7 linked regions of the Oryctolagus cuniculus genome follow. The main gene of each other region encodes a partner of the protein of the gene in region 7 in a complex. Links are inferred from orthologs where the notes say so. Each region holds a gene or a part of one and is shown on either strand. Other genes may lie near its edges.

What was found.
Region 1: NUP93 (region 7) and NUP58 share a complex: the UniProt entries of both Homo sapiens proteins name them as parts of the p62 complex. The link is inferred for Oryctolagus cuniculus from reciprocal best matches to the Homo sapiens genes NUP93 and NUP58.
Region 2: NUP93 (region 7) and NUP214 share a complex: the UniProt entries of both Homo sapiens proteins name them as parts of the nuclear pore complex. The link is inferred for Oryctolagus cuniculus from reciprocal best matches to the Homo sapiens genes NUP93 and NUP214.
Region 3: NUP93 (region 7) and CETN3 share a complex: the UniProt entries of both Homo sapiens proteins name them as parts of the nuclear pore complex. The link is inferred for Oryctolagus cuniculus from reciprocal best matches to the Homo sapiens genes NUP93 and CETN3.
Region 4: NUP93 (region 7) and NUP98 share a complex: the UniProt entries of both Homo sapiens proteins name them as parts of the nuclear pore complex. The link is inferred for Oryctolagus cuniculus from reciprocal best matches to the Homo sapiens genes NUP93 and NUP98.
Region 5: NUP93 (region 7) and CETN2 share a complex: the UniProt entries of both Homo sapiens proteins name them as parts of the nuclear pore complex. The link is inferred for Oryctolagus cuniculus from reciprocal best matches to the Homo sapiens genes NUP93 and CETN2.
Region 6: the proteins of NUP93 (region 7) and NUP35 are in contact, whole or in part, in a crystal structure (PDB 7MW1), measured with the Homo sapiens proteins. The link is inferred for Oryctolagus cuniculus from reciprocal best matches to the Homo sapiens genes NUP93 and NUP35. Residues at the interface, in NP_055484.3 of Homo sapiens: Tyr266, Tyr269, Asn402, Ala407, Asp408, Lys409, Thr410, Glu411, Tyr413, Tyr448, His452, Phe453, Val455, Asn456, Leu461; in NP_612142.2 of Homo sapiens: Ala88, Pro89, Pro90, Val91, Arg92, Ser93, Ile94, Tyr95.

The regions. Positions count from the first base shown.
Region 1 is NC_091440.1:95,323,671-95,328,009, forward strand, and holds the start of NUP58 (nucleoporin p58/p45), read left to right. Parts: upstream 1-1,358; 5' UTR 1,359-1,601; coding exon 1,602-1,708; intron 1,709-4,339. UniProt on the Homo sapiens protein: Component of the nuclear pore complex, a complex required for the trafficking across the nuclear membrane.
Region 2 is NC_091432.1:233,660,675-233,665,097, reverse strand, and holds the start of NUP214 (nuclear pore complex protein Nup214), read right to left. Parts: upstream 2,856-4,423; 5' UTR 2,768-2,855; coding exon 2,723-2,767; intron 1-2,722. UniProt on the Homo sapiens protein: Part of the nuclear pore complex. Has a critical role in nucleocytoplasmic transport.
Region 3 is NC_091445.1:13,137,549-13,141,871, reverse strand, and holds the start of CETN3 (centrin-3), read left to right. Parts: upstream 1-1,423; 5' UTR 1,424-1,566; coding exon 1,567-1,583; intron 1,584-4,114; coding exon 4,115-4,250; intron 4,251-4,323. UniProt on the Homo sapiens protein: Plays a fundamental role in microtubule-organizing center structure and function. As a component of the TREX-2 complex, involved in the export of mRNAs to the cytoplasm through the nuclear pores.
Region 4 is NC_091432.1:63,101,674-63,106,071, reverse strand, and holds the start of NUP98 (nuclear pore complex protein Nup98-Nup96), read right to left. Parts: upstream 3,007-4,398; 5' UTR 2,850-3,006; intron 2,701-2,849; exon of another isoform or gene 2,483-2,700; intron 1-2,482. Other genes in the region: PGAP2 (post-GPI attachment to proteins factor 2), read left to right, coding at 3,348-3,444. UniProt on the Homo sapiens protein: Plays a role in the nuclear pore complex (NPC) assembly and/or maintenance. NUP98 and NUP96 are involved in the bidirectional transport across the NPC. May anchor NUP153 and TPR to the NPC.
Region 5 is NC_091453.1:131,267,369-131,271,765, reverse strand, and holds the start of CETN2 (centrin-2), read left to right. Parts: upstream 1-1,568; 5' UTR 1,569-1,783; coding exon 1,784-1,789; exon of another isoform or gene 1,790-2,146; intron 2,147-2,241; coding exon 2,242-2,400; intron 2,401-2,710; coding exon 2,711-2,839; intron 2,840-3,499; coding exon 3,500-3,637; intron 3,638-4,077; coding exon 4,078-4,167; 3' UTR 4,168-4,397. UniProt on the Homo sapiens protein: Plays a fundamental role in microtubule organizing center structure and function. Required for centriole duplication and correct spindle formation. Has a role in regulating cytokinesis and genome stability via cooperation with CALM1 and CCP110.
Region 6 is NC_091434.1:57,515,173-57,518,893, reverse strand, and holds part of NUP35 (nucleoporin NUP35), read left to right. Parts: intron 1-1,715; coding exon 1,716-1,843; intron 1,844-3,721. UniProt on the Homo sapiens protein: Functions as a component of the nuclear pore complex (NPC).
Region 7 is NC_091449.1:40,509,582-40,513,302, reverse strand, and holds part of NUP93 (nuclear pore complex protein Nup93), read right to left. Parts: intron 3,152-3,721; coding exon 3,025-3,151; intron 2,909-3,024; coding exon 2,836-2,908; intron 2,571-2,835; coding exon 2,526-2,570; intron 1,005-2,525; coding exon 888-1,004; intron 157-887; coding exon 38-156; intron 1-37. UniProt on the Homo sapiens protein: Plays a role in the nuclear pore complex (NPC) assembly and/or maintenance. May anchor nucleoporins, but not NUP153 and TPR, to the NPC. During renal development, regulates podocyte migration and proliferation through SMAD4 signaling.

The sequences.
Region 1 (4,339 bases), on a different chromosome or scaffold from region 7:
AATGTGACTTAAAACCACAAGGTCACACATGCAGCACATGAAGCTATTCATGGGGGAGATGCCGGCTGGTCTGGAAACAAGCGTTTTAGCCACAGCTTGGCAGCCTGCTGGTGAAGGACATTCTACCTGCGTCTGAGGGGCCCTCACACCCCCAGCCCCACTGGATAGCCTCAAACTCATCTAAGTTTAATTATCCTCCAGGGCCCCATGGTTGGGGGGGCAGGTAGGACTTCAACATATGCATGTGGGGAGGGTTATAATTGAGTCCTTAGCCCCTGGCAACCTACAAGCTCAGCAGCAACCACTGTTGAACCTAGGGGAGCACCCGATGTGCCATTATCAAGATCGCTCCTGTTGAGGTCGTCTTTGGAGCTATGGGGTTTTGGTCAAGGCACTGCCCTGGCGGGAATTACGTTTTAGGAGAACACACCCTGGCGTTGCTCACAGGATGGATTTTCCTGAAAGAGACCATAGGCAGGGAAAGCAATCGAGAGACTCCCTCACTCATCTCCGACATAAAAAAAAATGCAGACCCACATTATGACGGTAGCCTCGCAAGGCATCCAAGGCAGAACGCCCTTCCTGATGCTTCCGCCAAATGGGATCTCTTCTAACTGTGCGGTGTTCTAATGCAGCTCATGGAACCCTCACATTTCATTTCACCGCACAGAGTACTGAGTGTCATACCGGAAATAAAAATTCCCTTCCACTTGGCAGTTCCCGGGCTCCAGCACCGGGTGTGGGCGCCGCGCACTGCCGCGACGCAGCAGCCGAGGGGGACCCCGCGTCCCGCACTCCTTCGCCTTGGGTCCTGTTTCTTCACTCAGCCACAAGCTAGGCGATCGGGGGCCCGCCGGACTCGGCCCCCGGGGACGCCGTAGCCACCGCCGAGCGCCCCGGCTCGCGCGCCGGACGCTCCTCAGGAGTCGCTCCCCGGACGGCGCGGCGGCCTCCGCAAGTACCGGAGCGCAGAGAACGGCCCACGTCGTGGGACCAAGGAAGGAACTGTTAGCGACTGAGTTCCCAGCCGTCAGGAAGCTGACCAGCTCCGCTTCTTTCTCGGGGCTGTGGCAGCCGCGCCCCGAAGCCGGACCCGCAAGATGCCCTAATCCTGGGATTCTGCGCCATGTTTGGCAGGAGGCAGGCTAGAAGCAGTAGAACTGAGAGTCATCAGCCATAAAGTATAGATTTCGTCAGCACGAATACAAAGACAGAACTAAAAAAGAGAGAGAAATGGTTTTGTAACGTGTGGTGTGATTTTTTTTTTTTTAACTCTAGGCGCCTACCCCTTTAAGAGAGCCGGCGGTGCCCCCACCCCACCGCATCCCAGGGTGCCTCGCGCGGCGCGTCCAACCCGCTCCCGTCCCAGGGTTCCCTGCCCGCGGCGCGCTCGCTTCCGGCGGCTACGAGCGCGCGGCGAGCGTCCGGCGTGCTCTGGCGTGCCTGCCCCACCCCCCTCGGCCTCGGTCTCGCAGTGGCTGGGCTTGAAGTTCCCGCCAGGTCAGGGCTGGGCAAAAACGATGCTGCCTGGCCCGCCCTGGCTTTGAGACTGAGAAAAACGCCCATCTCGAGCTTGCTGACAGCTTCCAGCCCCGGCAGCCATGTCCACAGGGTTCTCCTTCGGGTCGGGGACGCTGGGCTCCACCACCGTAGCGGCCGGCGGGACCAGCACCGGCGGCGGTTTCACCTTCGGCACCGGGGCGTCTAGGTAACCGCGCTTTCTCGCCTGCCCGGACCCGGCCCTCGTCCGCAAGGCTCCCTGGTGCCCCTACCCTCTCTCTCTCTCTCGGGTAGGCCTGGAGACGAGCATTTGCTGAGCCGGAGGCCTCCCGCTCCCCCACGCGCCCGGGCCGTGCTGGCGGCTGTGGTGGGGAGGACCCCAGACTCCGCGTTTGGGTCATTGTTCCTACTGCGTGGAGTCTCATTCCCGAGCTTCAGCGGTGTCAGTCTTAGGTGTGGGAAGAATGTTGAGCGAATGAATGAAATGGTTGCATATTGTGGGGTTTTACAGACCAACAGCTAGTAGAAAATCTGAAGGACAAATAATAGCTTTTTTTCCCCCTGATAATTCGGATTCCATTGTGTTTTACGGTTTTGAACATGACCGTGTGTTGCAGATCTCTTAGTTATTTTTACGGAGCTCTCAGACCTTCGTGCCACATGGGAGCCTGTCTGTCTGGTTTGTTTTGTTTTAAACAAACAGCTTGAACAGCGTGTATTGTGGTAACTTCCTGCCGAATGGGCACGTTCGTGTGTCCTAGGTCCGAATGTTGTGTTGTGAGGAATCACATTGCTACCTAAATTACCAAATGTAGAGATAGCCTGTTCATCCGTTTTGCGCATCCTGCTAGTTCAAGTGGTGACAGAAGTAACTAGCGGAGGTCCAGAAACAGACTGGTGAGAGATCATTACGAGAGACTTAATCTTTACGACTCTTGTCTTTTGACAAGAGGAGCTCAGAAAATCGAGAAGGGTGCATCCCATGGGCAAGATGGCTCCTGAGGCTTGTAGGAGGTCACTGTAGATTAAAAAGGCACATATATCGTCTGCAATGCTTGTGTTTTAAAAGGGGAGGGGAGAGGAAGGGCGGACTGCACAGTCCCGGCCGAAATCTGTTTCGCTCTTCACACTTAATCCGCAAGCCCTGATCATCCTCTGCATGTGCCACCCGTGTCCGTTTCCGTGCCACCACACCTGGCTTCAAGCTGTTGTAATTTATGTAGGTTAAATTCCTGCTTGTTAGGCTCTGTTTTTGAAGGTGGGATAAATGAGAGACCTGCCCTCCTGACACATTCCTGGGAAAATAGTGATTCTTGTTAAGCTTACAACCTGCCGTCTTGTGAGGGACGAAAACTGCTCCCGTAAAGCCGTGCGTAGATCAGTTCAGGGGACTAACTGCCGTCTCAGAACCCGCTGTTACAGTAATCTTTCTAACACATTGGTAGATGTTGTAAAAACGTCCATTGCTTCACATTTCGATCATTTCCCACTGGCTTAAAAAGAAGTAACAAATGAAAACATTTTCCCAGTGGTTCCCCAGGCCCACTATATTCTAGAACTTCTCCAGCTCATCTTGGGTCTTGTCATTTCCACTGTTAAAGGTAACATTGACAGCCGGCGCCGCTGCTCACTAGGCTAATCCTCCGCCTTGCGGCGCCGGCACACCAGGTTCTAGTCCCCGTCGGGGCGCCGGATTCTGTCCCGGTTGCCCCTCTTTCAGGCCAGCTCTCTGCTGTGGCCAGGGAGTGCAGTGGAGGATGGCCCAAGTGCTTGGGCCCTGCACCCGCATGGGAGACCAGGATAAGTACCTGGCTCCTGCCTTCGGATCATCGCGATGCGCCAGCCGTAGCACGCTGGCCGCAGCGGCCATTGGAGGGTGAACCAACGGCAAAGGAAGACCTTTCTCTCTGTCTCTCTCTTACTGTCCACTCTGCCTGTCAAACAACAACAACAACAAAAAGGTAACATTGACATTACCAGCCAGTAGGTGCCCAAGAATAAATACTTGAAACAAAGTTTCAGAGAAAGAAACTAAACCCTTGCTTGATGTTGATATTTTCTGTTCTGTTCCATTTCCTTTAAGAAAATGCTGCTTGTGACTTGCTATACTCCGCCCCTAGAGCACTCATCACAGTTGTAATCAGTTCATTATGTTTGTTGTTTTCTTGTTTGGTGTCTGATCCCAGTTCTAAAGCATAAGTTCCTTGATGCTAGAGACCTTTTCATAGTGTTTTTCCAGTAAACACAGTGACTGGAGCTTGAATAAATGAGCACTTAGCATCTGTACCTCCTCCTGACGAAACCTCCTGAGGGCAGGATCTGGGCCTTGATTTACACTCCATCCTCAGTCCTTTGGACAGTGCCTGGCATAGAAAAGGGGCTTTCATAAATACTGGTTCAATGACTGAGTTATTAGCAACAGACTCAAAAATGTACTCAAGCTGTCGAAAGGCTTGTATAAATTAATGAAAGGAGACAGTCTAACAGCTGCTTATTAAAGTGCTGCTGGAAGGCCTGATGGCCTCGTGCCTCCTGGGGACTTGGTCTCTCAAGGTACATCAGTGTGAGAGTGTTGCTTCCCAAGCTTCAGATCCCACGTCTGGAAGAGGGCTATGCTAACATTCATCTCAGAGTTGTTGAATGAGAAGAAATGAAGCAAGCAAGGTATTTAGCATCATGTCTGCCACTTGCTCACTGCTTTTGTGTGTTAGCTCCCAGGCCCACATTAAAGCCAACTGGGGTGACAATGCTTACATGATGGAATCAGCTGCTCCCCTCCCCTCCTCTCCCCTCTCCCCCACCTGCTTTGTAATTTTATTTATTTTCAAGGCAGAAGGAC
Region 2 (4,423 bases), on a different chromosome or scaffold from region 7:
TTACCCATCACTAAGGTCAGATGTGCTACACACAGGCTATCTTTTCTTCAACTCTAAACCTATCTTCAGGTCAGAGTTTAGAGAAAAGAATGAGGGCCACCCGGAAGCAGTTGCGGAGGTCAGCCCTTCTCTTCCTCTTTCCCTGAGAGCAGCGGCAGGGGTGGGGCTTGTGCAGTCACGGCCGAGATCAAGGCTCGGGACCTTCGAGGCAAGAAGGCGACACTGCTGAAACAGCGGAGGACCCGCAGGTCACCAAAGTGACAGGTGCGCGGCGTCCAAGCTCTCCAAAGCCATCCCCGTGTTCTCACCGTCATGAACCACACCCAGAAGAACCTCAGGAAATTCCACAAGGGCAAGTAGGAGCCCCTGGACCTGCGACCCCTGGACACGCGCCGTGCACCGCCAGCTCAGCAAGTATGAGGAGAATCTGAGACCAAGAAGCGGCAGGGGAGCAGCTGTCCCCACTGCAGAAGCGCACGGCCAGGTGTCATTAAACACACAAAACGGGGGAAAAAAAAATGCGAATCCACTCTGCGCTGGTGTTCCCAAAAATATGAAAGCCAAAGAGTTTTCCTGGGCTTCGTTCTTCTACATTAGATTCTTTTTTTTAAGATTTGTTTATTTGTTTGTTTTAAAGTCAGAGTTAGAGAGAAGGCGTGACAGAAAAAGCGAGGTCTTCCATCTGCTGGTTCACTCCCCAGACGGCTACAACAGCCAGGGCTGGGCCAGGCCTAAGCCAGGAGCCAGGAGCTTCTTCCAGTCTCCCAGGTGGGTGCAGGGGCCCAAGGACTTGGGCCATCTTCCTGTTTTTCCCAGGCCATAGCAGGGAGCTGGATAGGAAATGGAGCAGCCGGGACATGAACTGGCGCCCATATGGGATGCTGGCTTCACATGCAGTGGCTTTACTGCTGTGCCACAGCGCCAGCCCCACACTAGATTCCTAGTGTTGTTTCATACAGGATTCTTAACACAGCCCACAGACTAAGTTTGATGTTTATACATATTTGCTAGAAGGCAAATATGAGGACTTCACAAAGTTCATGGAAAAAAGAACTAAAAGATTTTAGTCCAAAAGAAATTTCAAAATCCATGCAGTTTTTTCATAACTGTTTTTCATGAAATTTCTGGAGACCCTCATACTTTTAATCCCAACTGATTTACAGTAGCAAAAATTCAGTTTTCCAGGTAAGCCTGTATTATGGTTTCATACAGGAGAGTAAGTTTTTCAGTCTTTTTTGTAATTCTTATCTTTGTTTTTTTTTTTCTTTCATTTATTCAAAAGGCAGTTAGACAGGATAGACACTGAGAGACAGAGAGAGGTCTTCCATCCACTGGTTCACTCTCCAGATGGCCGCAACAGTCAAGGCTGGGCCAGGCTGAAGCCAGGAGCCAGGAGCTTCTTCCAGATCTCCCACAGGGGAGGGAGGGGCCCAAGGCCTTGGGCCACCCTCCGAGACTTTCCAAGCACATTAACAGGGAGCTGGATGGGAGCTGGAGCAGCCGGGACTTGAACCAGCGCCCATGTGGGATGCCGGCACTGCAGGCGGCTGCTTCACCCGCTGTGCCGCAGCGCCGGCCCAGTAATTCTCAACTGGATCATCTCCAGTACCTCTTTGGGTCTCGGTGACATGTGCGTAGTGGGTCAGGATCAGGAGCACAGGAGAGTTCAAAACGAGAACCAACTCAGGGAAAACGAAATCATATCCATCATTGTACTGCAGCAGGCTCAATTTCAGTGCAGCAAAAACAAACAGAACCCCGAGATGCAGAACCGTCCCAGCTGTGGTGCTACGATGTTCATTAGTGTGAGCGAAATAAGAAAACAGTCGGGGCCAAACCTGGGGTAAAGCAGCCGCCTGCAGCGCCGGCATCCCGTACGGGCGCCGGTTCAAGTCCCCGCTGCTCCACTTCCCACCCAGCTCTCTGCTGTGGCCTGGGAAAGCAGTGGAGGATGCCCACGTCCTTGGGCCCCTGCACCCACGTGGGAGACCTGGAGGAAGCTCCTGGCTCCGGATCGGCGCAGCTCCGGCCACTGCGGCCATGTGGGGAGTGAACCGGCGGATGGAAGACTCTCTCTCCCCTAAGTGCATTCCAGGGACTTGCTGTTCACAGGGCTAAAAGCTTCCTGCTACTTGCTCCCCCTCGGCTGTCTGAAATACCCGTAGCTCGCGCTCTGTATCCTCGTTCTGTCAGGACGCACGTGGAAACTGCGGGGTGCGCCACGCTGAGAGCTGTTCCTGGGGGGCTCCCATCGCTCGGACCACTCGGCCCGCCCCTCAGTGCCCAGACTTCAGGCTGGTTTCAGTCCTCCGAGCGCACTCCCTAGGACGATGTCCCCCGGCTCTACGGCAGGCAGGCCCTGGCCACCTGACCCCGCGCTACCCTGGGCCTTCGGGAACATCACTCCCCCAGCCTCGACCTGCTCCTGTACCCTAACTACTGGAGATTACCACGGTGCCCGGCACACAGCAAGCGCTCAATAAAGTCACCGCCACAGAAGCAGCTGCACAAGACCGACACGGCACGGCGGAACCGCGCCCGGAGGGGCCATCAGGCCGACCGCACAGCAGAGCGCTCGTGGGCGCGCCGAGAACTCGGAACGCGGTCAGCTGCTCACGCAGGAGGCGGGGTAGCCGGCATCCGAGCCTCGCCGTTCTGGGCTAGGGCCGCGGAGGCAACGCCGGGACTAAGGCAAGGAGGGCGGCCCCGGCCAGTTTCTGACCTTCATCTCCCGCTCGGGAATCATGGCATCCATCTCGTCTCCCATCGTGACGCCCTCAGCTTGTCTACAAAGCTGCAGCTGCCGCCCGCGGCCTTCCCCACAGAGCCCAGGCGGCTCCGAAGCCAATTTCCTTCCCTCCGCGCCAGCGGCGCGCAGCAGATGACGCACTTCCGGCGCGCTTTGCTGCCGTCTCACGTCCCGGTTCGCGATGCGGTCGAGGAAGGCCGCGGGATCGCCTGAAGTCGCGCGCTCGCCCGGACGCCGCCCCTCATTGGTCGACTCAAAAGGGGGTGGGGCATGAGGATCCGCGCGCCTGCGCTCTGGGTGCGCCCGGCGTTCGCGGTTTGCGCGGGCTTCTTGGTGGTAGCGTCTGGTTAGCGGGGCGTCTGAGCGCCATGCGCTTTTGTTCCCGTGAGGTCTCGGAGGAACTTTTACATGTGGGTGGCTAGTAGTAGCTTCCTTGCGTTTTCAAGGGGGCGGGGCAGTAGGCGCAGAAAGTGGGTGTGGGGCGGCCCTGCCCCTCGAGACCCTAGGGCGGAGAGGGAGGTTAGAGGTCACCCAAGGGTAACGGGTGCTAGAGCCGGAGCCGTTCTCTTCGCCACTTTGGGTCACTAAGGAATGTGCGCCGCCTTTGCGCAAAACGCTGGGTGCGCTCCCCTTTTAAATAAATTAGCTGAGACGCAGAGTAGCAGCGCGAGACATCTCCCCTCGGCTGGGTCACGCTCCAGGTGGCCACAACCCCTGGCCAAGGCCGGGAGCAGGAACCTGACTCCATCCGCGTCCCGCTCGTGGGTGCGGGGGCCCAAGCGTTCGGGCCACCTTCCGCCGCTGGCCGGGCGCATTAGCGGGGAGCTGCGTCCGGGACTCCGAGCCGGACCCTGGGTGCGGGATGCTGGCCTTAACCCGCCCTGGCCGCCAGTCCCCCAGGGGTATTGTCGTCACTTGATGGATGACGAGAGAGAAGCACAGAGTTACCAGTGTCATCACAGAGTGGCGGAGGCAGGATGAGAATTCGGGTTGTTGGGGCCTGGGCTGCGGCATAGCCGGTAAAGCCACCGCCTGCGGCGCTGGTTCGAGTCCCGGCTGTTCCACTTCCGATCCAGCTTCCTGTTAATGTGCTTGGAAGAGCAGTGGAAGACAAAGTGCTTGTGCCCCTGAACCCACGGGGAGGACCAGAGGAGGCTCCTGGCTTCTGATCGGCGTAGCTCAAGCCGTTGTGGACAATTGGGGAGTGAACCATCGGATAGAAGACCTCTCTCTCTGCCTCTCCTCTCTCTGTGTAACTCAGATAAATAAGTAAATATTTAAAAAAGAAAAAAAGAATTCGGGTTGTGTCTGGATGCGCTGGCAACGCAGCCCAGTCGTCCCCGGAACCATTTGTTGTGGAATTGTCCGTAGGTGGGACCCAGGCAGGGCCTGTCCGGCCACTTGGTGTCCAGTAAATTGCTCGTCTGCTCCCAGCCTGCTTCTCTTTGGGGGGGGGGGGGCCTGTGAGGTGTAACGGGAGCTCCGCCTGGCACACGGGCACGCCGTCGGCACTCACGCGCACAAGCGTGTCTGGATTGGCAAAGTACAGAAACCACCCCCCAAACACACGAGTCGAGACTTCGGTACGTTTGTCTGGTTTATTTCCAATCTAGATGACAGCCCACCCCCTGCACTCGCACACACACACACACACACACACACACACCCTCATTC
Region 3 (4,323 bases), on a different chromosome or scaffold from region 7:
AGGATTTGGGCCATCTTCTACTGCTTTCCCAGGCCGTAGCAGAGAGCTGGACTGGGAGAGGGGCAGCCGGGACTTCAACCGGTGCCCATATGGGATGTCGGCGCTTCAGGCCAAGGCTTTAACCCACTTCACCACAGTGCTGCCCCCCCGCCCCATTTCCTTTCTAGCTGTTGGCCAGAGGTCATCTCAACTTTTAGAAGCAGTCCATATCTGATTCTATAGATTTCCTGTGCAAATTATTTCTGTGAAATCCATTTTGCTATTATTATATCTTATAATCATTGTTCTCTCAAATGTGATGATCAGCTACTTACTGAATTCTTTTTATCAATTCCAATAGCTTCTTTGGTATTCTTGGATTTTCCAGGTGTTATATAATTCATACACAATGTTAATTTCATGTGGCACTTCTTCCCCTTGTTTTATTGCATCATTCATGAGAATTTCAAGGATAATATTGATAACCATTTTAATGGTTTCTGTGGCAGACTTGCTAATCCCATTTTATGTTTAGTAACAGATGGTATGACCTCATGTTTTATCAGGGAACATGGCATCCAAACTAGAGAGCTCTTCTCAGCCTCCCTTACAGCAAGCAAGTAGTGGCCATGTCACTAGTTTCCACGGCTTAAATGTGAAGAGAAGTGATGCGTGTGACTTCCCTATCATTCCCTTAACAGGGTATGGCACTGACGACATTTGACCTTAACAAGTAAAAACACATTTTCCCAAATTACTTGTCCACAGTGTCATTCTCTATGAAATGACCATAAGCATCTCACAAAACTCTAGTGTTCCGGGGATCAAGGTTGAGAAACCCTAATGTTCCATTCTAAGTGTGTTATTCAGCATGGTAAAAAAAAAAAAAAAAAAAAAAAAAAAAGCACTGTCCATACCTGCTTTATTAATATGTATCTTAGAATGAGTAAGGGATATTTTGTCCTTGAGATCATCTCGGTTATCTAGCATTATGATTATTTAATAGATTTATATGTTGAATTCTTCATAAACACACTCTATTTAATGATAGCGAACTGTGTCGTTAAGAGGACACCAAACGTTTTGCTAACATCTAGGACCCAAAGGAACATCAACTGCAGCCAGCCACTGGGGACACAATGAATGACGTGCATAAACTCGGTCGCAAGTGAGCCTGCGTAGGATGCTGAGGGTTGGGTTGGCCGCAAAAATTAAGCTCACGTCTCTGAGAGCACCTGCACCGGTCTCCTCCCCGCCATTCCCTACCTGGGAGCTGTCCACACGCCGGCCCGCAAAGGATTCGGGGAAAAAGCAGCTGGCCAATCTAAGGGGCCGGAGGGCACGGGAGAGGCGGGCACAAACGCTCCTTTGACTGACGCTAAAGCCATCCAATGAAAATAGGGCGTAGTGCCGAGCGGGGCACAACCTTAGCGGGTTTCGACCAATCCCGCTCAGAAGTGTCTGTCTTCTGGGCGGGGCTGGTGGTGGCAGCGGCCGTTCGCGTCTGTTGAACGGCTTGTGGGAGTCCTGCTGCTTCGGGCCAGGGCATAAAGTCTCTGAGAGGAACGTGTCTGTCCGGGGAGGAAAATGAGTTTAGCTCTGAGGTCGGTAGTCGTGAGGCGGCCGCGCTCCCCACGCCGCGGAGCGGGCCCCGGGCGTGCTCGCGTGCGTGTGTGGGTGTGGAAGGGAGGCCGTTGGGGCCGAGGTGAGGAGGGGGCTCGCCGGCCTGCCAGCCCCCAGCCCCCCGGGAGTGCAGAGCCCTGCAGGTGACCGGCCCGGCGCTCGCTGCCGAGGTGGTCGCCTGTGGCCGCGCACGGGGCTTTCGGCCTAGGGGGGTGGGCCGCGGGCGTGCGGTGCTGCGACCCCGCCCACCTGGCCCCCGCACCGCTGCCCACGGAGTCGCTCGCCCGTGTGCCCCCGGCCCCGCCGAATCGGAGACCCGCCCGGAGTCGGTGTCTTCTGTCCCGACCCTAGCCCTCGGTCTGTGCCCCACCCCACCCCCCGTGTCAGATAGCCTTGAAGGCAGGTGCTCAGAGACTGTGTTCCGCCACGGGTGGCCCTGGCTGCGGTCAGGTGTGGGCGGGGTCCGGACTTGCCCGCGGGCAGTCCGGGCAGGGGAATGGCTGACCCCGGCTGTGCCCAGGTGTGTGTCCACTCGGGTCTCTTGGGGAAGGTCTTCCTCAGCTCTGACGTACTGCACCTGCTGTCATTTGGTAGCCATCCCTATTGCCTTTTTTTCCCCCTTAAGATTTCAGAAACCAAAATAAGTTTTTTGTTTGTTTGTTTTTTTTTTTTTTTTAAAGATTTATTTATTTGAAAGGCAGAGTGAGTGACAGAAAGAGACAGGGAAAGAGATCTTGGATCCGCTGGTTCAGTCCTCAAAGGGCGTCCATGGTTGGGGTTGGCACAGGGGGGAGCCAGGAGCCCTGAACATGGCAGTTCACCTGAACATGCCACCCTCCTGGGTGGCAGGGGCTCAAGCTTTGGGGCCATCTTCCGCTGCCTTCCCGGGGAGCAGCTGGGACTCAGGGTTTGTGTTCCTTGGACCTGAGAGGCAGCCCTACCTGCTGGGCCACGATGCTGCCCGCCCCCCCCCATGGCTTTCACATGCAAATAAGATGATCTGTTATGAGACAATCAACTGGTTTTACATTTAGAATTTTTAAAACGTGTTCTTACAGAATTGGTGTTCTCATTTGAAACTCTGAAGCACTTCTACATCTGTCTCAGATGGAAGACATTCCTAACTTCCAAATAATTTTGCTTTTCATTTTCTTTACTCTTTTCCAGAGTTATGAGAAGTTTGACCTATAGTTTATAAGTTAAATGAGACAAGAATTTTCACATTTTTTGGAAGTAAGCACAAATGCTACATACCACTTTTTGATCTTTTAACATTCATGATATATTTAGACTCACTGCTTTGTTGGCTGACATGTTAATATTGATGGAAGAAACTACAAACAAAGTACCTAGATGTGATCCAAAATAGTTTTGAACTTACAATGCCAAAATATAGGTTAATTGATAAATTATTTGGCACTTTTTTGTAGTAATCTTGAAAACTTAATTACAAGAAATATACTGAAGTATAATAAATATTTATGTTGATTGTCAATTATGAATTCTACTTTGATTTGGATTTTTTTCCACTTTTGCAGAATGATATAAGTGTTGATTTGGTTTTGATTGAGGTTTTTGGTCTGAAAGTAATATTTCTGACCATTCTTTTTTTTTAAGGTTTTTTATTTATTTATTTGAGAGGTAGAATTATAGACAGTGAGAAGGAGAGACAAAGATCTTCCGTCTGTTGGTTCACTCCCCAGTGGCCGCAACGGCTGGAGCTGTGCTGATCTGAAGCCAGGAGTCTGGTGCTTCTTCCTGGTCTCCCATGTGGGTACAGGGGCCCAAGGACTTGGGCCATCTTTTACTGCTTTCCCAGGCCACAGCAGAGAGCTGGATTGGAAGAGGAGCAGCTGGGACTAGAACCAGTGCCCATAAGGGATGTTCGCACCACAGGTGGAGGATTAACCTACTGCGCCATAGTGCCAGCCTCCTCTGACCATTCTTGTTTCTGAGTTGGGAGGAGGGAAGGTTTGGTTCCCCCCCCCCCCCCTTTTTTTGAAACGTATATGAAAGAGTGACAGAGACAAAGTCAGAGAAATCTTCCATCTCTGAATGGCCGCTATGGCTGAGGCTGGGCCAGGCTGAAGCTAGTAGCCAAGAACTCCATTCAGGTCTCCCATTTGGGTGATTGAACCAACCACTTGAGCCATGCCATAGTTGTCTGCCTTCCCAGGTGCATTAGCAGAGAGCTGATTGGAAGTGAAGCAGCTGGGACCTGAACTGGCACTCATGTGCGATGCCAGTGTGGCAGGTGGTGGCTTAATCCATTGCATTGTGACAGTGGCCCTTGTTCCCCATTTCTGTCAGAGTTTCGGCTTCATACTGGGAAGTGTACATTCATAGAACTGTGGACTATGGAACAAGCAGGATGTCAACTCATACAGAAAAAATACTTTATCTTTCTTCAACATATTTCCTTTTTGGAAATTTAGAAAGTTGTTGATTGTTTAGTTTGCATAAGAGAATACGATTAGAGTGGACTAATGACTTTTTTGTTTCCATTTTATAGAAGTGAGCTTGTAGTAGACAAAACAAAGAGAAAAAAAAGAAGAGAGCTCTCTGAGGAACAGAAACAAGAAATTAAAGATGCCTTTGAACTTTTTGATACAGACAAAGATGATGCAATAGATTATCATGAACTAAAGGTAAAGTATAAAGTATATATTTATCTGTTAAAGTGATTTGCATTTTTGACAGCTTTAAAATACATTTATTTTA
Region 4 (4,398 bases), on a different chromosome or scaffold from region 7:
TCAATATAGCAAATAATTCTCAGTGTTTACTACATCACTGCAAAGAGACAAGACCTGCATTCATGCCATATGATGGCATCAAGTATATGAATGAAATGGAAAGAGAGCAGAATTACAATAGCTGACATGTAATTACACCAATACAAATTACAAGCTCTTGTGTCCCTTGTACAGAAATACAGATACATATTGATTTGCATAATAGCCTACCCTCTTTCAAACAAGACCCTGATTTCTCCCATTTAAGAGAAAGGGACGCTACCACAGAACTGAAATGAGGAACTACAGAAAGTGACTCTAGGACTCTTAGCTCTTCAGCTTCCCAATTACAGAACTTGACAACTGAAGGGTTTTTCATAGATAATTATTCCAACAAAATGCAATTTATTAACTGACTATAAAGATAAGATAGAGGTATGTATGATTTTACTAATACTAAGAATGTTTTCACTAGAGCAGTAGTCTCAAACAAGGACAACTGACAATTTCTTGAGACATTCTCAATTGTAACTTGAGAAGAGGTGTTAGGGGTATCTAATGATGGGACAGGAATGCTAAAATGCTAAAAATCCTACAAGACTAAAGAGAGTTCACCACAATAAATATCTGGCCCAAAGTGTCAACAGTGCCAAAGAAACCCTGCTCAGTAGATGTTTTCATACCTTGCCTCTGAATGTTCAATCTAAATCTCTTATTTCTCTAACCTTTCAACAAATTGCACAATTACAGTTGTCTCTTTACTGGAAATTAAACATCAGTCCTACTTCTACTTCCTATATTAACCGCCTCCATATAAATATTACAATAATATGACCAATTGTTCCCAAGCTCTGAATTTGGTTCCTTAAAAATCTTATTTGCGTTTAGTTATCCAGGAACTGTGGACATAAACAAAGTCAAATACCAAAGTACCACATAACACATAAACGGATTGGGACCCCTTATCTGGTCCCCAAATTTTAGAAGCCCACAAATACCCAGCCTCTTTGCTGACTATCTGTAGTTTTAGCTCTTCCATATTTGTTTATTCTTGAATGCAAATGAGGGCCCACTATGTGCAAAACAACCTGAGTACAAAATAAAAAAACATTTTACCATGGTCTACTAGAAACACAAACAGCTAAAATACAAAATGGTATGTGCTATAAATAGAAGCATCAAATAAGTGTTAGGGAAGCTTAGAAGAGAGAATGCCAGGAAAGGCTTCCCAGAAGAGGGTGATGCTTTAACTGAGAAATGTCACAGAAAACATATACTGTTCACATTTTAATATTTAGACTACAGTTCCCTTCCTCTCTTAAGCACTACTAGTTTTCAGTTTTTGCTTTGTCATCTAAACAACAGCAAGGTGCCACTCTAACAGATGTCAACAGACCACCGTGGCAACTAATTCAATTTCATCAAATCTTAAGTGAGTCAAAATAATTCTGTCGAAGCATTTCCTAGTGCATTCATCCTGTTCTACCTCTGATTTGGCTTTTAAAATAGCTTAATTTCCTTCACCAAGCAAATATACTGTCTGCCACCCAGTTAACTAGTGTTTCCTTCGCAATTTCTAAGACTCTTAACAGAGAATGCTCACTGCTTGTTTCTTTTGTTCTTCCAATTCATTCCATTCTCCAAAAAAAGAGTTTAATTTCCTTGCCTTACCCTACCACAAAACCTCACTTTGAATTCTGCACCTGAGCCAAACCATGAGTTCCAAGGTACAACTACAAAGTGATTGTGTAGCTTTTTAAGTCTTGTGATGGTTCCTACAACAGTACTGTTGTAGTAACCGTATGCTGAATCCTCAGCCACACAGTGACAAAAATTCAGATTTCTAATAGGAAACTGGACAACGATCCCCAGTGCCCCAGTGGTATAGATTCCTTTCCAGTACATACATCATTGCCATTTTCAAACCCACTTTTTAGTAATGGCGGTCTAGGTTAAGAGATACTAATGAAGCTTCTACCTGGCCATGGACAGAGCTGGTAGCAACTAAAGCCGTCAGGCTATTGAAGGTAAGTCTACTTCTAACTACTGAATGCCTCTGCTCCCCTCCCCCAAGAGAATCCTTAATAATGGGAGAGTGGGACACGCATCCAGGGAGGGTGGGGTAACAGACACATTTCGAAACTGAGTCGAGAGATCTGGCATTCGCTAATGCTGTCTCCGCCTCTGGGCTTCAGTTTCCCCATCTATAAAACCTGGATGTGATGCAGGCTATGGGGGTTGATCTGAATAATCTCTAAGGTCCTTAAGATTACAGTTAGCCAGAAATCCAATTTTTTTAAATCTGGCTGGATACGCAACACGTGGGAAAAAGACACGACCCTTTCACTACACAGCACCGACCCTAATTCTTGTATATTGTCTTTAGAAGCCTAGAAACTTCAGACTCACCCACCCTAACTCTCGGGCTGCCCATTTCTCCTACGGGGAAACCAAGGCAAATAAAGCCCACCCCGCACGACAGTCGAGGAAGTGAGTCAGACACCTTATCCTGGCTCTCTCCGCTCTGCCCCAGCAAAGGCCGGCCCCCGAGGGCTCCTAATCACCGTCAAGCGAATGAATGAGTACGAACAGATAGATGGAAGCTCCCCAAGCGTGGGCTGCAACTGGAGACCCCCGGGCCTACACCCCTCCGAAGTCGATTCCCTCCGAGGACACGAAGAGCCGGTCCTCCGGCCCGCAGCGAAACGGGCCCCGCCCCCTGCCGCCGGTCAGAAGGTGCGCGCCCGGGCGCGAGACTTCGGCGCCGCGGGCCTGGGACGCCCCGCGCACCCGCCCGCCCAGAGGGGAGGAGGAGCCTGCCCGGTCCCTCGCCGCCGCCGCCGCCGCCGCCGCCGCCGGCCCCGACTTACCGCGCTGCGGGGGGGAGGGGAAGTGTCCGGAGTGAGGGCCCAGGCCCGTCCGCCGCCCGCCGCTCACAGAGCAGCGCGAGGCTGCCAAGAAACCGTCGCCACCGCCGCCGCCGCCGCTCCCGACCGCCGCTTCAGGCGCAGCGCGCAGAGGGCCCGACTGCGTCACACGCCGCCCGCCGTCAGAGGCTCAGTCCGGGCGCTCCGCCCTCGCCGCCTGCGCATTGGCAGATCCAGCCGCCACTCTAGGTTCGCCCTGTTAGTCATTGGGCGCTGAGTCTTTTGAAACCGAACGTGAGGGCGGTCTTCGGGAGGGGGGGGAAGAGGAGGGTCAAATGGAGTTGGGGAGAGAAAGGGGAGGGCCTGTGGGAGGTACGTGGAGTCCCGCCCCTCACAGCCGCGGTTGGCTGGGAGAGAGTCTTGACGTCACACAGGGCTCCTCGAAGGGGGCTAGTGAGTGGCCAGACTGGTGTGCACTGGGCGGGATGTGGGAGAAGAGTGATGACGCTACTTGGAGACTCCGCCCCCTTCCTTCGAGCGGAGAGACTCGGGCTGCGGGCGCAGGGGCCAATCAGAGGGAAGGCCCCAGGATGGCATGGTAACTATTCTACCCTTTTCTTGCCCCAGTCCGCGGGCGGTGATGGGAAGGCTTCCTCCTCGCCCTGCTCACACTTCCTGGACAGACCACGTGCGGAGCTGGCCGCTCTTCCTGGGAGGTGCATCTGTCCGCAAAGCTATTCTGTGGCTAAGAGGCCCTAAATCCCTACCTCCTTGTCTCTTAACCCATGCCCGCACCAGCACACACCCTTTCCTTTTATCCCTAGGATAGACATTATGAACATTAGAGATCCTGTAAGGGAATGGCCAACCTTAGATTCCGGTACAACTAAGGATTCTTAGAACTTCTGTCCCATTTGAACGTTGAGAACCCGTACTTACTCTTAAAGGCCTGGTTCAAATGTCCCCGCATTTGCTGACTTTTCCCAGCAAGCTGCCTAATGCTTGGTTAGGTCTCTGTTACAACCTTGTCACTTTGTATCCTGTTATTTATTCATTTTCTGGTTTTCTTTGCTGGGGGCTTTTGGAGGTCAGAGAGCTGCGTTTTCATCCTCTTGCTCTTTTCCTGCCAGGGCCTAGCCCAGAGAAACCTGGTATTACAAGAAGCAGAGGTGGGCTTGTTCTAGAAACTAGACCTCTGGTGGCTGAGGCTCTCACACAGAGTTACAGCAGCAGTGTTTAGAAAGTGGAGTATGCAGAACATGTCTCCACCACCACCCCTCCTGGACCATGAAAACAAGGGAGCCTTGTCTAACGCTTAGATGAGTTTTCAGTGGTAGCGAGGAATGAGAGATAACTGACCTGTTGTAAAGTGGAGTAGTAGTAAGGACTGGTGTTGGCCTAGCAGTTAAGATACCACTTGGTTTCTGAGTTCAGTACCAAAGTGCCTCTGGGTTCATTCCCGCTCCTGACTCCAGTTCCCTGCCAGTGCAGATTCTGGGAGGCAGTGCTGATGGCTCAAATAGTTTAGTTCCTGTCCTCCACATGGGATAGC
Region 5 (4,397 bases), on a different chromosome or scaffold from region 7:
AGAGCAGTTTGGAGGTTGAACCAAGGTTAGCAGACCATGGTGGGAACTCTGGCTCATACTGGCTGGGAGGTGGATGATGAATGCTAGAATTGAGAAAGGAATACAGGTGGAAAAGAGAAAAGAAATGGCATTTAATGGGCAGAACTGATAGAACTTAAGAGACTAGATACAGGGGAGAGGGCAGGGAAAGTTAAACATGAACACAAAGTTTTGAACCCAGTTCACTGCTGTAAAGAGGAAGAGGGCAAAGAGTAGACACTCCTCTTAAGATGTGCTAGGATGCCTCAGGCCTTTTGAAGCCAGAGAAACCTCTGCTCTGTCCTCTGCCTCCCCAGATAACCGCCTCAATGCCGCATGAGTAGGTGCAGCTGAGACCCGTGGAGCTGTCTAAGGAGGGCAGACTCCAGTCCTTTTGCAGTTTCAAGTCAGCCCTTACCATTACTCATGCTCCCCTGGAGATCTTCTTCCACAATTCCCGTGACTTTGCTCACAAGGGTGTCTCGGCCTGGAGTTCTCCTCCCTGACTGCCTTGAGAGTCTGTGTCAAAAAGAGTGTATTTTGAGACAAGCATGAGGAGGAACCTCCTTCACGTCGTTCAACACCCATTGTCAAGGTCTCCGACTCACTGTACCGGGCTGCTCCTGGAACCTGCTGTATTCTCTCAAACAACCAGTCTACGTGCCAGATGTCAAACCCTCTGCGACGACACTCAGCACGCCCCTTCCCCTGTCAGGGTCTCAGCTATCCTGTGAGTAAGTACAGTCCCAGCTCCCACACGAAGGTCCTGGGATCTTCCTGATGCCCTTGTTCCTAACTCAGTCTTAGGCCAGACCAGAAAACCACTGCCACTCAGACCGCCCCGCCTAGTCCTTCGCTCGCCCGCCCTGCCCTGTCGCCGATACAAAGCGGCTTCCGAAGCCTACGTGGCGACTCTTACCCTTCGGTCCGTAAATGTCCCCCGGTTGATCTCAGCTAGCCCGCCGCCGACAAGGACCGAGCTCCAGCCTAGGAAGGCCACCCTTTTTTCCCCGCCTGTGTGAGCTGAGAATCAGCCGAGCTCCTTCTACCTAGCGGATTGGCCGGGCCTAGAGTCGGCTCAGCCAGTCGGAGCTCTCAGCGTGATGTTGTCCAATGAGAGCAGGTCTCACCCTCCCAGCGCACCGCCCCCCGCCTGGGCCCGGGCTTTGTGAGGTTAGCCCTACCCACTCCAGACGTAGACCAATGGGGAGCGCTGGAGGTGAGCCGGCAGCCAACAGGGAGCTGGGCCGCGCGCGCGGGGCGGTGGGAATGGCGCCGAGTCGGTGTGTACGTAGGTTGCCGTAACAACGGGCAGCGGAGTGCGTCGGCTATGGTGAGTGCTGGCTCCCCAGTCCGGCCTTGCACCCAGGGACTGAGTCCTTCTCAGGGCTGCGGCCCCGCCACACCACACTGACTCTCTTGCTCACCTTTAGTGCACTGATCCTTCCTTTGAGCTCTTTCCCGGAAGGGTAGACACGCCAGCCACCCCGCTGGGCCTGCGCTTCGCCCTAGCCTCCCCGTCATGCACAGCGGGCCCTTACCCGTCCCTCGGGTCCCCCTGGCTTTCTCTACCCGCCTCGGGGACTTCCTAGGCAAAGAAGAGGGCCCAACCCCTCTCAGATCCTGGCCCTTTCAGATCTTGGCCTCCTCTCTCTGCCAAACTTCCCCCACCTGGGAGGAGCTTTGTTATGTTCTGATTGTTAACTTGTATTTTACAATTTAAATATGGGCATTCCGGAGATGCTTTGAGCATCTTGGGGAGGGCATGAAGGTGCCAAATAGATTGTTTTACTATTTGATATGGACAGAACACTTATCTAAACAACTTAATAATCTTTGGCCAAATCCAGAAGTAATCGGAAAGTCAGAGTACCTCTTGGGAAGCCTAGTACCGCGAGGGGTTGTTTTTGGAGCCAGGATCCCCGCGTTCAGGGAGGGCAGTACTCACTTCGAGTTATCTACAGTCACTTCCTTAGCTAACTGCCTCGGAGTGATGTATCCGAAGAACAAGGGATCTCTTTGCTTCTAACAAATACTACTAAAGAAAAGGGAGGGAGAGCGCTTCACGGGAAGTTTCATTCTTTCCAATAAACCCCATTATCTCTTGTTGAGCAGAAATTGGGAATTGGTTGGTATAAATTAGTTTTAAAAGAGATAGCAGTGTCTGTAACTATGGACTGTATTACATAATAGTGTGCTCATGTGTTCGTATAATTTCTACAGGCCTCTAACTTTAAGAAGGGAAACATAACATCTAGTTCCCAGCGGAAAAGGATGAGTCCTAAGCCTGAGCTTACTGAAGAGCAGAAACAAGAAATCAGGGAAGCTTTTGATCTCTTTGATGCTGATGGAACTGGGACCATAGATGTTAAAGAACTTAAGGTAAGCCCTGCACGTTCTTGCTATACTACCTCTGCTTCTTCCTTACCCTTTCTCTGTCACAACTCTACCCCTTTTGCCCTCTCCTTCCTGTAAAAACTAACAGGGCTGGGATTTTTGTGCTCTCTTTTCCTGTCTTTTATTATGCCAAGTGTTACTAAATAAAATTGACAACAAAGGTCAGTTACATCAATGTTTATTCTGTAGTCATTTTACCATTATTATGGTAGATGTTGGCTTAATATTCTCAACACTTATATTTGCTCCTGCTAGATTCAGATATGCATATTGAGACATTCCTGTTTCCTTACAGGTGGCAATGAGAGCCCTGGGGTTTGAACCCAAGAAAGAAGAAATCAAGAAAATGATAAGTGAAATTGATAAGGAAGGCACTGGAAAAATGAACTTTAGTGACTTTTTGACTGTGATGACTCAGAAAATGGTAAGTTAGCTGAGATAACCATTAGCATGTTTTTTACTCATAGTGATAGATAATGTCTATCTATCTAGAGTAAATGCAAAAATAATTTTAAAATAGTGATAAAGTCTATCTATCTAGTCTAGATGTGAAAATGACCTAATTGGAGAAAAATTGACAAAGATTGGAGAATTCATCTGATAAAAGATAGTATTTTTGACTGAGAATTAGCCTAAATTCTCTTTGGCTTTCTTCAAGGTCACAAACTAATGAAGTCATTTCACCCTTTGTAAAGTAGCAAAAGTGTCATTTTTCACTGTTTTTCCAACTGATATATCTGTGATAAACCCAAATAGAAAAACTGTAGACACCATTCATTTTTAAATGCAAGGTGGAGGGTTAGGGAATGAATCTAAGAAGTTGATTCCCCTGGAAGTCCCTCCTTGGCATTTGAACTAGAGCAAACTCTGAACAGGAGAACACAGCAAAATACCAGGGCTTAGCATGCCAATGTGCAGTGTCAGGTTCACTAGGTGTCTCAGCAGCTGCCTCTAATTCTGTTCTTTGTCTTCTTGGCTTGTATTGTTGTAAATGGGGGGGGGGGGAATGGGCAGTGGTGGGGCTATGGAACACGGGTAACCATGGTGTTTTCCTGATAATGCATTTTATGTTCTACTTGTTAAGTCTGAGAAAGATACCAAAGAAGAAATTCTGAAAGCTTTCAAGCTCTTCGATGATGATGAAACTGGAAAGATATCATTCAAAAATCTGAAACGCGTGGCCAAGGAGTTGGGCGAGAACCTGACAGATGAGGAGCTACAGGTTTGTCATGTGTGAGGCTGGAACGGTGAATTCCCACCGTTGAGCCCTCTGAGACTTCTCTGCTTTTGATTTTTCCCTGGTGGGAAAACCTCTTTGAATGAAAGATACTGTTCTTTGGCCCCTTTGCTAACAACGTAACTTTCCTTTGATAGTCTGACAATCCTATGACCCTGCTTCCAGAAAAATGCATGTGTGTACAGTTTTATTTACTGTTTTAGGTTTTGGGAGTCCTTCTGGTCAAGTCCTTCGAACTTCCTTCCAGGTGACATGTATGACAAAATATGACTTGGTTTTCCAATGACTCTTCAAGAGCCAAGTTATTATAATGTATCGAGTAGACTACAATTGTCTATTCAAATAGCAATGTTAAAGCCTATGATGTAGTCACCTTTTTGTTTATTTTATGAATTAATGTTCTCTGAATCTTTACTGTCATGCAGGAAATGATTGATGAAGCTGATCGAGATGGAGATGGAGAAGTCAATGAGCAAGAGTTCCTGCGCATCATGAAAAAGACCAGCCTTTACTAAGATCCATGTCGTCTTTTCTACTGCAAGCACACCTAACTAGATTTAGTGCCTGCCATTGTGTAAAATCTGGCTTTTGAGAACACAAACTATTTTCTCCTGCACTGACCTCCCTACATAATTTTAGTTATGGCCTCTAATCTATTTCAGACTTTTAAAGTGTTCTTTGATACTCAATCTCTTTGTAAAATGACCTGCTGATTACTTGAGTTCTCCAAAGCAGAATAAGAGCA
Region 6 (3,721 bases), on a different chromosome or scaffold from region 7:
TTGGATCGGAAGTGGTGCAGCTGGGCCGTGAACTGGCACTGTGTGTCAGCATTGGGAGTGGCAGCTTTATCCACTAAGGCACAACATTGGACTTGGCTTATTATCTTTTTGAATTGATCAAAGAGAATTACTGTAAATTATATTTGTAGTTATTCATTTAAGAACACCATTTTTGGACAGATTTTTAAAATTTCAGGGGCCAGTGCTGTGGCGTAGTGGGTAAAGCCGCTGCCTGCAGTGCCGGCATCCTGTATGGGTGCTGGTTTGAGTCCTGGCTGCCCCACTTCTGATCTAGCTCTCCTATGGCCTGGGAAAGTCGTAGAGGATGGCCCCTGCACCCGTGTGGGAGACCCGGAAGAAGCTCTTTCCTGGCTCCTGGCTTTGGATGGACCTGCTCTGGCCTTTGAGGCCATTTGGGGAGCGAGCCAGCAGTGGGAAGACTTCTCTCTGCCTCTGCCTCTCTGTAACTCTGTCTTTCAAATACATAAATAAATCTTAAAAAAAAATTTCAAATGTATTATTGTAGCCACCATATATTAAATGCCTTTGAGTCATGTAGTGTGCTAATAATTTTATTTATGTCTTTTTTTTTTTAAATCAACTTTAGTAGTTGGGATTTCCATTTTTCAAAAGAGGATACTGAGGTTAAATAATTAGCTAGAACTCATTTGTTAGTGTCAGAGTAGGACTTTAAGGTCCAGGTGGTCTTGTTCCATAGTGTGTATTCTACATAACTTAGGATTTACTCTCCAGGCTTAGACACTATTCTTACTGAGGCCCTGGGCTGCATCACTGTTTGCATTGCAGGTTCTCTGACTTAAAAAATATCTTTATGTGATGAAAGTCCATTTTCTTTTTTATTTTTTTTGACAGGCAGAGTGGACAGTGAGAGAGACAGAGAGAAAGGTCTTCCTTTGCCATTGGTTCACTCTCCAATGGCCGCTGTGGCTGGCGCATTGCGGCCGGCGCACCGCGCTGATCCAAAGGCAGGAGCCAGGTGCTTCTCCTGGTCTCCCATGGGGTGCAGGGCCCAAGCACTTGGGCCATCCTCCACTGTCTTCCCGGGCCACAGCAGAGAGCTGTCCTGGAAGAGGGGCAACTGGGATAGAATCTGGCACCCCGACCGGGACTAGAACCCTGTGTGCCGGTGCCACAGGTGGAGGATTAGCCTTTTGAGCCGCGGCTCTGGCCAAAAGTCCATTTTCTGTATCTTTATTATGTACTTAAATATATTTCTCCTGTGAGAAACATGAATGGGGTCTATTGACAGTTTTTACATTAGGGGATTATATGCTTAGGTATAGATAGATTAGAACTATATATCTATATGGTAGATAGTTACTCTGAGAAATGGGGTCAAATTTTGTATTGAAATGTTAAGTAGAAAAGGTAAGAATTGCATGTGTTTTCTAAAAGCTACAATTTATATTAAGTACTTGTTCTGAAGCCTTTTATACGAAGTATGGTAAATACATCAGCTGTATTGGCATCATTTGGGGACTAGTTAGACCTGTATAATCTTGGGCTCCACCTCATACCTTGTGAATTAGTACAAATTTTAAAAAGATCCCCAGGTGACTCTTATGTTTATTCAAGTTTGAAAAGCACTAGGAGACAGTTTAAGTTAGTATTCCAGAACTATATAATTAAGAATCTTAGCAGGAGATGGAAGATTCCTTTACTTTATTACCTGACTGTATTTTTGTACATTGTAGGTGGGTCACCACCACAACCAGTTGTGCCTGCTCATAAAGATAAAAGTGGAGCTCCACCAGTTAGAAGTATATATGATGACATTTCCAGCCCAGGACTTGGATCAACACCTTTAACTTCAAGAAGACAGGTGATAGACATGTCCTTATAGTTCACTTTAATTTTAAGTTTCTTTGTGGCTTAAACAGTTAGGATTAGTAATTTAAAAATTTCTTGAGATTTATTTTAGTGTAATAGTGTTACACAGAATAAGCATTAAGTGCATTTATCATAGAATCTGCTTACATTGCGTTTGTTATGAAATGTGCTTAGAAATATAATAGGACTCTACGTTGTATTCCATATAGGTAATTCTGTGATTTCTTTTATAGGTATGCTTTATCTTTTTACCTGTATGTCTCTTTAAAAATATTTCTTTATATATTTGAAAGAGTTACACAGAGAAGAGAGAGGAGAGGCAGAGAGAGGGGAAGAGGTTTTCCATCCGCTGGTTCGTTCCCCAATTGGCCACAACGGCTGGAGCTGCGCTGATCCGAAGCCAGGGGCTTCCTCTGGGTCTCCCATGCGGGTGCAGGGGCCCAAGGAGTTGGGTCATCTACTGCTTGCCCAGGCCATAGCAGAGAGCTGGATGGGAAGTGGAGCAGCCAGGACTCAAACTGGTGCCCATATGGGATGCCAGTGCTTCAGGCCAGGGCGTTAACCTGCTAAGCCACAGCGCCGGCCCCACCTGTATGTCTTTATACCTGCCTGTGCTCAACCTGCTTAATATACATGTGGAATATGATTATGTTTATTATTCTAATTGTTTAAGTCACCAAATATTTTATACATAGTTTTGTGAAAGAACAAATGAAGATTCTAGATTTTATCTTGATATAGAACACTTGGTAATGATTGAAAACTGTTTTACTAGTGGTTTTGTTAAGATCAGTATCCTTTTAGAGCTGTATTCACTGTTTACATTTTATCTTTTAACCGAAAAGAGCTGCCTCCTACATTTTTATGAGCTGAGTGTGTTAACTGGTGTAGGTGTTCTGATGATGGTATTAAGTTTTATTTTGTGTAGGTGGTCTGATAGTGTTTTTTTCCATTATGGATTATATTCCAGGTAGAGAGTATCTGTTTTGATGACGCTGACAGCAATAAGAACATATCTAATACTCAGGAAATACTTGCTATGTGCAGGCCCTGAGCTTATAACTTCTAATGTATTATTTCATTTAGTCCTCAGAATGAATCTTGTGAGTTAACTTACACGACCTTCATTTTATCACTGATGAAACTAGAGCAAGGGGAAGTTTAATTTGTCAAGGGTGGGGTAGTCAGTTTATAGCAGAGCCAGGCTTCAGACATAGACACTTTTTATTTGAGAGGCAGTGAAAGAGAGTGAGTGCACATGTGCTGGTTCTCCTCTACTGGATCAGTGTCCGGATGCCCACGACTTCTGAAGTCACGAGCGGAGAATTCAGTCCAGGTCTCCCATGTGGTTGCAGGGACTCAGTTAATTGAGCCATCGCCTGCTGCTTCCCAGGGTTTGCATTAGAAGGAAATTGGATTCAGGATCCAGAGGTGTGTTTGGAACCCAGGCACTGCCATATGGGGGCATCTCAGCTTGTCACCCTAACTGCTTAGTCTAGGCCACCTTTGTGGCAGAGTGGGTTAGGATGCCGCCTGCAGTGCTGATGTCCCGTTTAGACACCAGTTCAAGTCCTGTCTGTTCCACTTCTGATCCAACTCCCTGCTGATATTCCTGGGAAAGCAGTGGAAGATGACCTAAGGATTTGGGCTCCTGTGACCCACATGGGAGACACAGATGGAGTTCCAGGCTCCTGGCTTTGGCCTGGCCCAGTCTTGGCCAGCTGTTGTGGCCATTTGGGGAGTGAACCAGCAGATGGAAGATCGATTCTCTGTCTCTGTCTCTGTCTTTCAAATAAATAAATAAACTCTTTTAAATAAATAAATAAATCTTTAAGAAAAAAACAGAAACCTGCTTGGTCAAACTCCTGCC
Region 7 (3,721 bases):
ACCCTCAGGGCCCCACGGCGCCAGCTCGCAGCCTTACCGCTCGGCAATGGAGAGGGCCATGTTCTTGAGCCTCTCCTTGTTGGACTGAGGTGCACTGATCTGGGGGACGACAGGGCTCAGCAGTTTGTTCATCAGCTCCAGCACCTTATCAGCGTTCTGTTCACGTTTTAAGATCAAAGAGATAACCAATGAAGGGAAAAACTACATAATCAAAACAAAACAGACAATTTTCGGAGGCAATGGAGGAAAATGTTCTACATCTGGGAGCTGGTTACATAGACAACATACCTATGCAAAACCCACTGAGCTGTACACCCTGAACACTGGCATATTTTTCTCTTAGTTATACCTCAGTCAAAATGTTTATATAAATTAAAAAATCATGATTGATAACCCTCTTTTTGCCTCCTCTTAGGTGAATGGGGTGAATGCGATCACATAATCGTGAGCAGCCATCGTGTGTTCTGAGGTGCTCACGTCACTCCCAGCCGCCCGAGAAGGCCCAGCTGAAGCACTACTCCCCAGCACGCTCTAGTCAGCAGAGTGTCTCGGAACTGCCCACAAGTCAGGCGCGATGGCATTTTTACTGCAGCTTCACCATCGGAATGTGAGGGATGCTTATTCAGAGGCTGAGTGAGACAACAATTCAATGCCTGCAGGACAACCTCTCAGTATGCTGCTTTTATTTGGCCAGAAATGCCTTATGGGCAAAAATAATTCTGTAAAATGGGAATTTCACCCTGGATCATTAAGTGCCTAACTGCTGGGAGAAAATGCCTCAACAGGGAGATTGCTACAGCAATGGCATTGCTGAAATATTTGTGTATTGAATGGCAAAAGGCCAACAGATCAATCAAGTGCAGAAGAAGGAAAAGGGCACATTTTACCTTGGCAAGGTCATAAAGCTTTGCTGCTTCTTCAAACAGTCCTTTATTTTCTGCCACGGAAGCAACTTTGTTGATAATAGGCTTTGTGTCACTAGTGAACTTATCTATGACTCCAGGCTGACAAGACAAATTACGGAGGGGGAGGAAGAGAGAGAAATGGATGCACAGAGCTATTATTTTAAGCACTGAGAAGTAACTGCGAGCCAAAAAATACTTTAACTGAAAACGCTTGCCCTGAGCAGTGCATGTTCATCAGTTAGACCTGGCTTTCCTGAGGATACAAGGTCCTCTTGGAACTACAAAAGGGACCAATGAAACCACACACAAAGAGCAGACTCGCTGGACACAGAGGAGTCAGAAATCTGACACCCATGCTTTCTAATTTTCAAAAACGACCCAGTAGATGAAATTATCAGTGATGTTAGGTTTGCCGAGGAGCAGGAACCAGAGAGAAAAACCCAGAGGCCTGGAGAAAATATCTGCAAGACTCAGGATTTGCTCTCTACAACAGACAGCAAAAGAACTCAGGGGAAAAACAAAATGCATGGCAATGGTATCAGGACATCCAAAAAAAACCCACAAAAATCCACTCCCTTACCACTCAACAGCAACCAAATGGTCAGAAGAGAAGGGAGGCCCTAGGAACCATGGGAGAGCAGAGGTGGACTGAGTGACATCCCTGACTCTCCATCAGTGCTGGACCAAGTCAGGCTGACCTGTCCTGGCCATTCTGGAGGCAGCTGGGAGATCAGGGAGGAGCAGAGGCTCTTGGGGCTGAAGGACGGGGTTCCGACTCCAGTCCCCTTCTTACTACCTGTGTGATCTGAGAGTAACCTCCCTGTCTCCATCTCTTCAAGTGGAAAACACAGATAATTACAGTTTCCTCCCTACTGGGTTATTGTGGCAATTAAATAAGGAGCTACATGCAAAGTCTTCAGCTCGGTGCCCGGCTACTGTCACCACCCAAGAAGCATGGGAGATGGCCCCTCTTCTGAGCCACACAGTAGGAGCAGTACTTCTTCTGGAGACCACTGGGCCAGCCACTCGTTTTTACAAATGAGAAGAGTGAGCAGCCAAGGGGGCAAGGGTTTCTCAAGGCCACAGGGAGAGTTGGGGTCAGTACTGGCTGCTGACAAGAGGATCTCTTCGCCTTCTCCTGTGACACCCAGTAAGCATCACAAGGCTCAGGAACTGGCTGAGGCTCCCTTACGGAGCCACATTCCCAGGGTCGGTATTGAGTTCTGGGCACTCAGAAATGGCCTTCCCAGGGAGACCAAGACCATTTCTGACTTCTCCATCTGGGCAGAGTAGGCATAATAATCAATTTCTTCTTCTTTTTTTTTCAAATCTTCTGACCCAAAGAATGGCAGAAATGTAACCTTCTCAGCCTGCAAAATGGCAGGCATGAACCAATGAGTAATCTGAACATAAAAAACTATGGAATTGCAGATTTATGTACATGTGTATAAAATCAAAGTCATCAAGTAGGTCTACAACTTTCATTCTCCATTTGTTTCTTAAATTACATAACTTCATTCAGCTTTGGAGCTTCAGTTTCCTGGCTCCTAAAACCCAACCCAACTATACTCTCTGCCCTGCCTGCAATGCGAGCTATCCCTCCTCTAACATCTGACTCACCTTCCGACTGCCATCATTCTCCAGTTTCCCAAGGATCATATCAAACTGGGGAGGGAAAACAAAGTTTATTCAATTTATTGGGTAAGGATATAAACATAACCAAGAATTCTCCAGAGACTACAGGGGAAGAAAACAGAGGGATGGGAGAAGCCTTACGTTAACTAAGAAACATGAGACTGAAATCAGTATTTTCATTGTTAGACACCAAGGAAACCTTCATAACCACCCCCACTCAGGCGGAACCACACTGAGGTAAATGAGCCTGCATTCCCATGAGACAGGCATGGGGAACCAGGGGCAGCTGACCTACCTCTCGGCTTTCTATCACCAGCTCGCTCACACAGCGCAGAAACATGTTTTCTCCTTGACTATCTTTCTCGTCCCTGTACAGGGATAACAGCAACTCAGTCTCGGGTATGGACTGGCGGTCTCTACCAGTCTTTCTCAGAATGGCAGAAATCAACACTGGCTGAAGTAAGTGGTCAAAAGCAAACTTCACCTGAGGAAGTAAAAGTACTGGAGGGCTTCCCTTGGGTCCGTGGACTCAAACTTCCGGGTGTAGAGCATAAGTAGCCGCACAAAGTTCAATCGCCGCATGCAGGGAGGGTCCCCAGGCTCATGGCTGACTGCGTCGTGGGGGAAAGAACGTGTCACAACCACACTGTCCCTCTGACCCATGCAACCCAACAATCATGGAAGCTAAATCCGTAGACCCAGCAGCATCTACTCCTGCAGCCTAGACAACGCTTGCCAGTGCCAGCTTTGCTCAATTCTCTCTACCACCCTGTCCTCAATTTCTCACCAAGGATGCAGCACAGGAAACAGACCTTTGTAGTAAATTTCCGGTCCACTGGTCTTAAAATGAAAAAAATAGTACAATTGACCAATATAGCATGTACTCCGAGAGGATTTCACTGTGCTAAGAAGGAATCCGAATGCATCCATTCATTGCTCTCTCACCACACGGCGGAATGTACAGAAGATGGCTGGCTGGGGTTGCTGGTGTCATAAGGCCAGAGCCCTAACGGGATCCAGAAGCGCCACTCTAAGGACTGCTTCTCCTGCATCACCCTCCGGACACGACGCTAGCACTTCGAGAGCACACCAGGGAGAATGACCGGGGTGGCAGGAGGTGGGGTAACACAAGAAACACAACACTAATCCTCCAGAAAGCTCAACTATTTGCAATGCTCAGA